Mus musculus: one gene and its partner. Each later gene encodes a partner of the first gene's protein in a complex. Links are inferred from orthologs where the notes say so. Each region holds a gene or a part of one and is shown on either strand. Other genes may lie near its edges. The genes, in order: Arhgef7 and Shank1.

What was found.
Region 2: the proteins of Arhgef7 (region 1) and Shank1 are in contact, whole or in part, in a crystal structure (PDB 3L4F), measured with the Rattus norvegicus proteins. The link is inferred for Mus musculus from reciprocal best matches to the Homo sapiens genes ARHGEF7 and SHANK1. Residues at the interface, in XP_063131056.1 of Rattus norvegicus: Asp735, Ala737, Trp738, Asp739, Glu740, Thr741, Asn742, Leu743; in NP_113939.2 of Rattus norvegicus: Gly673, Phe674, Gly675, Phe676, Val677, Leu678, Arg679, Gly680, Ala681, Lys682, Phe696, Glu703, His735, Arg736, Val739, Ile742.

Annotation. Positions count from the first base shown.
Region 1 is NC_000074.6:11,811,366-11,815,167, forward strand, and holds part of Arhgef7 (rho guanine nucleotide exchange factor 7), read left to right. Parts: intron 1-1,231; coding exon 1,232-1,318; intron 1,319-3,577; coding exon 3,578-3,656; intron 3,657-3,795; coding exon 3,796-3,802. UniProt on the Homo sapiens protein: Acts as a RAC1 guanine nucleotide exchange factor (GEF) and can induce membrane ruffling. Functions in cell migration, attachment and cell spreading. Promotes targeting of RAC1 to focal adhesions. May function as a positive regulator of apoptosis.
Region 2 is NC_000073.6:44,308,720-44,313,113, forward strand, and holds the start of Shank1 (SH3 and multiple ankyrin repeat domains protein 1), read left to right. Parts: upstream 1-1,544; 5' UTR 1,545-1,577; intron 1,578-2,265; exon of another isoform or gene 2,266-3,944; 5' UTR 3,945-3,987; coding exon 3,988-4,242; intron 4,243-4,394. UniProt on the Homo sapiens protein: Seems to be an adapter protein in the postsynaptic density (PSD) of excitatory synapses that interconnects receptors of the postsynaptic membrane including NMDA-type and metabotropic glutamate receptors via complexes with GKAP/PSD-95 and Homer, respectively, and the actin-based cytoskeleton.

The DNA of each region.
Region 1 (3,802 bases):
AAGGTGGCAGGAGGTCTCAGCGTCTCCGTAGAATAGACACCTTCCCTATCCCTGCTAGCCTTTCAGTAGATGTGGTGGCGTGAGGAACGTGCTTGGGAAAGCTGTTCACTTACCCACATCTGAAGGCAGTGGCTCATGCTGGAGGACTCACGCCTGTCTGTCTGTCCTTCAGAATCTCTGGGCTCCTGTCTCTTAGGTGTGTGTTGGCTTTTGTTACTTTGAAGCAAATGATTTTTAGTGTACAAGAAATATTTTTATGTAGCTGAAGAGGTTTGTCAGGTAGATGAGAGCAACATTGACTTAACAGTTTGTCCTACTTTCTTGTAGCTTGAAGAATCCACCGGTCCTCAGGCCTCAGTAGCAGTTTCTAAGTTCTTTTTTCTGGGCCACGCGCAGACAGTTACCAAGTAATATTCAAAGATACTCCATACAAGGATGGAGAGGGCTCAGTGGTTATGAACAGTGGATGTTCTTCCCAAGGACCTGGGCTTGATTATCAGCACACACATGGCAGCTCACAACCATTTGTAACTCTAGTTCCAGGGGGTCCCACACCTTCTTGTGGTGTTTGGGCTCTGTTCACATGCAGGAAGACATCACACATATAAGCAATACAAAGAAATATATCCTGACCTTTTACTTTTTCTTTTCTTTCCCCTTTCTCCTTTCCCCCTTCCTCTCCCTCCTTCTCCCTTTCCCCTTTCCCCTTTCCTTTCCTTTCCTTTCCTTTCCTTTCCTTTCCTTTCCTTTCCTTTCCTTTCCTTTCCTTTCCTTTCTTCTTTTTTTCTCTCTCTTTTCCTTTTCCTTCTCTCTCTCTGTCATTCTTTCATTCTCTCATTCTCTCTCTTTCCACAGGATCTCTGTTACATAGCTCTTACTGTCTTAGAACTCAATATATAGACCACTGGCCTGGAATACACAGAGATCTGTTTGCCTCTGCCTCCCATGTTTTGGGATTAAAGGCTTGTGCCATCACACCTAGCTAAATAAACCCTTTTTTTTTTTTTTTTTTTTTTTGGTCTTACAAAGCGCTCACAAGCTCTATAGCTCTTTCTGGTTATAGTTCTCCGACCTGCTGAGGTTTAATGTGGGTTTGGTTAGATTCTGGTGGCATTTAATATTGCTCATCTAGTTTGGTAGAAATCTCAAGTAGAAATAAGGTCTGAGATTCCATGGGATCTGGTATAAAGATTTGTGCACACATTTATGAACAGATTCTTTTTACTATTAGGAGAAGAATGAGAGATACCTCCTGCTCTTCCCAAACCTTCTGCTCATGTTGTCTGCAAGTCCCAGGATGAGTGGTTTCATCTATCAGGTAAACACAGCTACACTGATTGTAGTTTTTGTTTGTAGTGGATGTGGCAATTGTTCTCCTTTGAATTGAATGTATTAATGTTGTACTCACCTGTGTGTGCCACGTGTGGTACCATGTCGTGACTCTGTGTAAGAACTCTGTGTGTTCACGTCTGTTGCATCTTTTGATGTGACTGGAGAGCAGTGAACAGCCCACATCCATCTCTCCCTGACCGCATTGTCCTCTGCAAAGCACATTGCTTCTCTGGGCTTTCATGTTCCATTCTGCCCAAGGTAGGTTCAGCTAGGTGCTGAGGGCTAAGGTCTTCAGTAAGGGGTAGAACATCCCAAAACTCTGGACTTGGAACCTGATCATTTAACCTTAGTAAACTGTTAGTAAACTTTCTTTTAGTGTCTTGGTTTGTCACCATTTCTTGGAGAACGTTTGAGAGTTAGTTGTAAGAGAGAGTGTGAGGGACTCTTTTCTGTTAGTCCCCACCAATGGTGGGGACATTAGGTAGGGTCTGGGAGATGCTATCAGTGATCCTGTCTCAAGGACTGGCTAGCCTCCACATACTATTTTAGTGGATGTTGTTGTTTCACTTTCAACCGGCTTTTCTCTGATGTGTGTGTTTTATGTTGTCCTGTGGAAAATAGATGTGGCTTGGTCTGTCCCTAGGAGGGCTAGTTACCACAGGTGTCCCAAGGGAGCCTTTACAGATAGATGGCCGAGCAAATATGCATGGGAAGAGTCAGAAACCTGAGGCTTCCATTGGTGAGACCTTCTGGGTGGCTAAGGTGCCCGGGTGGCAGCTCCCTGTTGAGAGATGCCTGTTTCTGGCTCCACTCCATACCCTAGAGCCCCAACCTAGGCTGGCACTTGTGCAGGGGCTGTCTGCTGTTGCTGCAGCGTGCTCCTAGAGATGCCATCTCTGTACCAGGGCCATCTTTGTTCCCAGGAGTATGCTGATTAGCCCTGTGGTGATCATCACCTCCAGTGCTTGGAGGCTAAGGCAGAAAAATCAAGATTTTTTAGGCTAGCTTGGGCTACATAGCAAGAGTCGTCTTAAAAACAGAACCTCCTTGGCTTTGGGGATGGCAGCTCTGGCAGTGGGACTGCGGCTCCATGGCTGAAGATAAGAGGCGGCTGCTGGGAAAGCGCAGCCAACACTCCTCTGTGGGGCTTCTTGTCCTCAGCCACTGAGGGGTTAGGCCTCTGTTGCGCTTTCAGCCTGGCCCTCAACTGTTTGGACTGGGTGACTTGTTTGTTTGGTTTGTTTTTTGCCTGGAGTAGGGCACAAGATAGGGAAACCGTCGTCGGTAGTTTTCCTTGTTTGCTTTGGACCTCTGTTTACACATCATAAGCAGTTTGACTCCCATGTCCAGGTCACAGTCCATCCCTGAGGATAGTGCAGGACAAGCAGGAACAGAGAAGGAGAATAAGAAGGAGTGCCCTGCTGCCTGCCTTCCCCTGCTCCCCCCCACCCGCCATGCCTTTCTAAGGTTTTGAAGCCTCTGCCCAGAGGTGGCATTTTGCATGGTGGGCTGGGCCTCCTGCTGTCAGTCACTAATCAAAAGTACCCGGGCAGGCTTGTCTGTGGGCCCCAGGAAGGCTGACAGTCCCTCTGTTGGGCTTTTCTCCTGCTGATAGCTTTAGTTGTATCAAGTGGACAAAACTCATCAGCACAACTCCTGTCTCCTGTCTGCTGGTGAAAACCCTGTTCTCTTTGTAAAGATGTGGCCTTTGGCAGCTGGCTGTCACAGTTTATATGGCCCAGGGAAAGCTGTTGCCTGCTGGCTTTTACTGTTTAAATGAGCTTTGTCCCCCTGTTTTTCTCAGCTGGCATTTCCTGCTTCATGGAGAATCCCTCCCATTTTACAGACAGACTGACTGCCACTTGGGCACCCTGTGGCATCCGTTTGACATCACGGCTTATTTCCTGTTTGAATTGTCTCTCTCTGTGTTTTTGTCTCCATTACTCATCAGCTGGCTCTTCAAACTCCTAACTCCTTTCTCTGTGAGGCAGTGAGTTCTCTGTCATATGCCGTTAAAGCAGCCACTGTGCACCCTGGCTCCGTCTTCTGTCTTCCACTCATAGAATCACCCATTGGGTCAAGATCCTGCTTTGGTTCAGTTTGGGTTCTTGATCTGGTTTGACTGTTCTTTAAGGTGTCCTTTAAGCTCTTTTGTACACTTAATTCTGCTGCCACGTGTGAAGTCATTTAATGTGTGTGGTCCCTTCTTTATTAGGAAAACATTGTTTTGGGGGGTCTTTTGTAGGGGAAGCTGCCAACAACAGGAATGACAATCACAAAGCTTGAGGACAGTGAAAACCATAGGAATGCATTTGAGATATCAGGTAATGTATCCACACTGTGCCAGTGCCATGTCCTTGAGTGAAGAGCCTTATATATGTCTGAGGGTGTGTGAGGTGGCTTTGGGTCCTGGGTGTGTGTGTACATGTGCTTATGTGTACTCACTGTGCCCCTCCTCTCTAGGGAGCAT
Region 2 (4,394 bases), on another chromosome or scaffold:
AGGTCTCTCTTCGGAAGCTGGAGACCTCCATATAATGCAGAGGGGCTTTGTAAACTGCAGAATGCCTCATAGCCGCTCAGTGTATGTACCAGCACCAGCAGCTGTTCTCCATGGGCGCAGCTGCTCGGCACCTGGGTGGGTGCATCAAGATGAGGGCCTCTCTAAGCTGGGTACCAACTCCAGTTTATCCCAGGATGCCCCAGAGAAGCTGCAGCTGAAGACAAACTCAGAAACTATCTAGAACAACCCTCTGTAGGAGCTGGTGTTCCCTAGTGGCCCTGGGGACGCTGCTGGGCAAAGTGGAAGTCATGGCTGAAGAGGGCTGAAATATGCTGAATGAATCTGCCTTCCTCTGTGAATGTACCAGGTAGGAGAAAGCTGACTACCTGCACACAATTAGCTTTGTGTGTCCATGTGTGTGAAATTGGAGGCGTTATAGAATGCAGAAGGGTATACATCTTCAGGTATGTTCTTTGAAACACCATAGCAGGCCTGTGGAGAAGATGGAGACAGCCTTCTGTGTTCTTCACCCTTGATACCACCTCTTTATAGCTGGGTGGCCTGGGCCAAATTACTTAGCCTTTCTGTGTGCTTTGACAGGAAAGAAGTCACTGAACCTGGCACCTATAGTATACTCAAGGATAGCTGGGGGGGTGGGAGGTGTGCTGTGGGCAGGGTGTACAGGCAAACAGGCAAAAACACCTGTGATGACCAGTGGAGTGGGTGAGCTGGCTCGGACAGCACACAGGTCTGTCTACCGTGCTTCTTGTAGGTAGATCTAAGTATGTAGTTGGAGTATGGTGTAGGTCAATCTTGCAGGGTGCTGTCGGTATGCTGTGGCACAGGGGTGTGACATTGTGCATGAAGCTGGGTGTGTGTCTCTGGTTGTGTGTACTGGGCAAGCATGCCCTAAGGAGTAGGTAGCTGTGGGTATGCTTGGTTTACAGGACCAGCTTGGGGGAAGGGGTATGTGCCTCAGGTACTTCCATGTATGTGAGCTCATATGGAAAGTTGTGTGCATGTGGGGAGGGGTATGTGTGTGTGTGTCGGGGTGGAGGGGTGAAGGTACACACATTTGGGGGTACAGGACCAGAATCTATAACCCACAGTATTCGATTTGGGAACATACAGACTCTACAAATACAAATAGCACCCCACCATGTGTAGAAAGGGTGGGGAGCAATCTGGAGGAGGGGCTCCCCTAGGAAGAGCAGGATCCCACTAGGGGTACATGGGGGTGAGCAGGGGTGGAGTCTGGGTTTGAGGATGGGGCAGTGGAGATGAAGGGTGGAGGAGGGCGAGGGGGGGGGTGGAGCCGCGCGTGTGTTGGGGGGAGAATGGGCGAGGTTTGGGGGCTCAGGGAGGGGCGATATCTCTCTGCGGGCTCCCGGAGGGAGGGGAGAGGGCGGAGGGAGGGGAGGGAGGGAGAGAGAGGAGAGCGAGAGAGAGAGAGAGAGAGAGAGAGAGAGAGAGAGAGAGAGAGAGAGACCGGGTGAGGGAGAGACAGCGAGTGCGAAAGAGAGCGAGCCGGGTGGCAGTGGAGGCGCCGACCGGGACTCAGCAGCCCCGCCAGGCAGGTAAGGGCACGGGACACTACAGGGTGGTTCTGGGGTAGGGTGCAATTGCGAGAACTGGGGTTGCGGGAGAGGGCGGAGGCGCCCCGGATGTCCTTGGCCTGGCGCCGGCTCCGGCCTGGGTGTACATTTAGGGTGTGTGTATGGGGGGGTGAGGGTGTGGAAGGTAGCATGGCCCCTAAGGGTGACATCAAATTGGGTTGCGACCTGGTCCCGAGTGCCCCGTCCCAGATCGTATCCTTGCTAGGAGGGTGTGCCCCATCCCCCACGTGCTGCGCCCCCTAAGCCGAACTGGTCTCGGAGGCTCTCCGGGGCCAAGACTGGGTCTTGGTCCCCGCCTCCCAACCCGGCTCGGCCACTCCCCCGCCTCGCCCACCCCAGCACACCTGGGCCCCTCCCCTAGGTCACCCTGGTCTCCAACCACTCCAACCCAGGGTCTGGGCCAGAGCCTCCTACGACGCCTGGACCCGGCGCCCCTTCCAGGCGTCTGTAGTTCCTTTCCACCCGCGCCTCGCGTGCCCATCGCGCCTCAGGTTCCTTCTCCGCAGGCCGGCGCGCCCCCTCTGCTCCCGCCCCCAGTCCCAGCTCCCTCTCCCGACCCAGGGCTATTCTTTCACCAACCTCCCTGCTCCCGCCTTCCTCCACCTCCATTCATTCTCCCCGGGCCCGGCTCCTGGCCACGCCAGCCGTCCCCTGTCCCCCCGCAGCCTCTCAGGGCACCCCCTCTCTCCCCTTAGCCACCCCCCCCCCTCGCCGATTCCTCAGCCCGTCTCGGTACCAGCTGCGTGCCAGCTATTCTTAGCCGCCGAGCTTTTGATTCATGCCGCCCCGGCGGAGTGTGCCCGCTCCCTCCCTCGAGGCCGGAGGGGGAGGGGCCCCGAGCTGTCCTGGGTGTTGGGGCAGTGGAGCCCGCGCTATAGGGGACCTAGCCTTTGCTGACCTTTTATCCCACCTGCCACCCCTTTCCTGCAGAGCTGGGGCTGCAAAGGGGATGTCAGCCAGGGTCAGCCGAGGGGGAGTGGCTGAGGTCACACTGCCAGGCGGGATGTGGTGTAGGGCGGTCAGCAGACTGAGCTGGAGGCCCGGGTCTCCTCCCCAGCCCAGCGGGTTGAGCCACAAGGCAGGGTACCTGGGATGGGGTGCTTCAGAGCTCGGTCCCCGCGAGGGGGAGGGTTCCTCAGCCCGTGGTTAGACGCCTGCTCGCCTACAGTTCTTGGAACTCTCTTCCTTAAACATTTCGTCTTTCCTTCCCCAACCCTCCCTCCCCCCAGCCCATCCCCACTCCCCCAAAGTCAGCAGTACCCTCCACTGCTTCCCATCTCCATGGCAACGGTGCAGGAGCCGGGCCTGGTGTGGGGTGGGAGGGACCAGACCAGACATTCTGCTTTCCGGTTCTAGAGTGGGGAGTAGGGGGTGGCAAACAGGAGAGAAGAGGACCGCATTTGGAATGGAGCCACCCCTCAGTAGGCCACTTTGAGAGGGACGACCCTCCCCATCTCCTGGTCCCCATATTGTTGCAGCTCACTTCTTAGCTTCCTCCCCAGACACCCCACCCAATCCAAATTCTCCTCGGTGGAGCCTCCAGTACCAAGCAGTGCCAGCCCACCCACCCTGCTGTGCCATTCCTGAAACACCCACAGGTCACCTGCAGCTGCCCACACCCACCCAGGCCACCACAGCTTGTCACCTGGACTTTCCAGCCAGAGCCAGGGCCAGCCTCCCTATCCACCCACACATCCTCTTCACACGCCCCAGTAACCTCTCATCATGGGTCTCTTGGGCCCAGCTCAGGGGAACTTCTCTTTTCTGTTCATCCACCCCCACTCGTGTCCCTCCATCCCCTACAGGGACAGCTCATTCCCCAGCAGCAGCCCTCTAAACATGTGGTCAGCCACACTTCAGTGAAGTCACCAGCTCTCGGGCACCTCCTGCTGCCCCAGGCTCAAAACTCACACCTCCATCTCACCTTTACTATAAAAGTCAGTCTCCACCTCCCTGGGGTGAAGGGGCCAGGCTCCGGCCAGGAGGGCAGGATGCCGGGGTGGATTGGTCCACCTGTCTGTCCTTAGCTAATTTTAGCTTCATTTTTTTGTAGTTTGACAAAGTGGGCCACTAGCTCCCGCGGTGATTCTGTGATTTCTAGGACACACTGGGTCAGCCACAAAGTGGAGCGCAGGGGGGTGGGGGGCTGCAAGCAGGGCCAAGGACAGGGAGGAGAAAGGTGCCAGGAAGGCTGCAGAGGTGGTGCAAACTTGTCTGTGCAGGGGGCTGAGGGCATGTCTAGTCTCCCTTGGCTGCCCCTGTGTCTGTCCACTGGTACTGGTGGCCTCTGAGTGGCTCAACAGTGAGGATCACCCTTGCTTTTCTCAGCTGCCTGTGATGCTGCTGTCCCCCGTCGCCCCGTGGCCCCACGATGACCCACAGCCCCGCGACAAGCGAGGACGAGGAAAGACACAGTGCCAGCGAGTGTCCCGAGGGGGGCTCAGAATCGGACAGCTCCCCAGACGGGCCAGGAAGAGGCCCCCAGGGGACTCGGGGCCGAGGCAGCGGAGCACCTGGTAACCTGGCCTCTACCCGAGGCCTCCAGGGACGCTCCATGTCTGTCCCTGACGACGCCCACTTCAGCATGATGGTTTTCAGGATTGGCATCCCTGACTTGCATCAGACGGTGAGTGGTCACTCACCTGCCAGCTGACAGACACATTGGCCAAGTCTTTCCCCACTCTCAATCCCAGATCTAGCTGGAATCTTATTCCTTTTCCAACCTACCCTTGACCCTCATACCCTTGACCCAACCTAGCCCCAGACATCCTGTCTCCC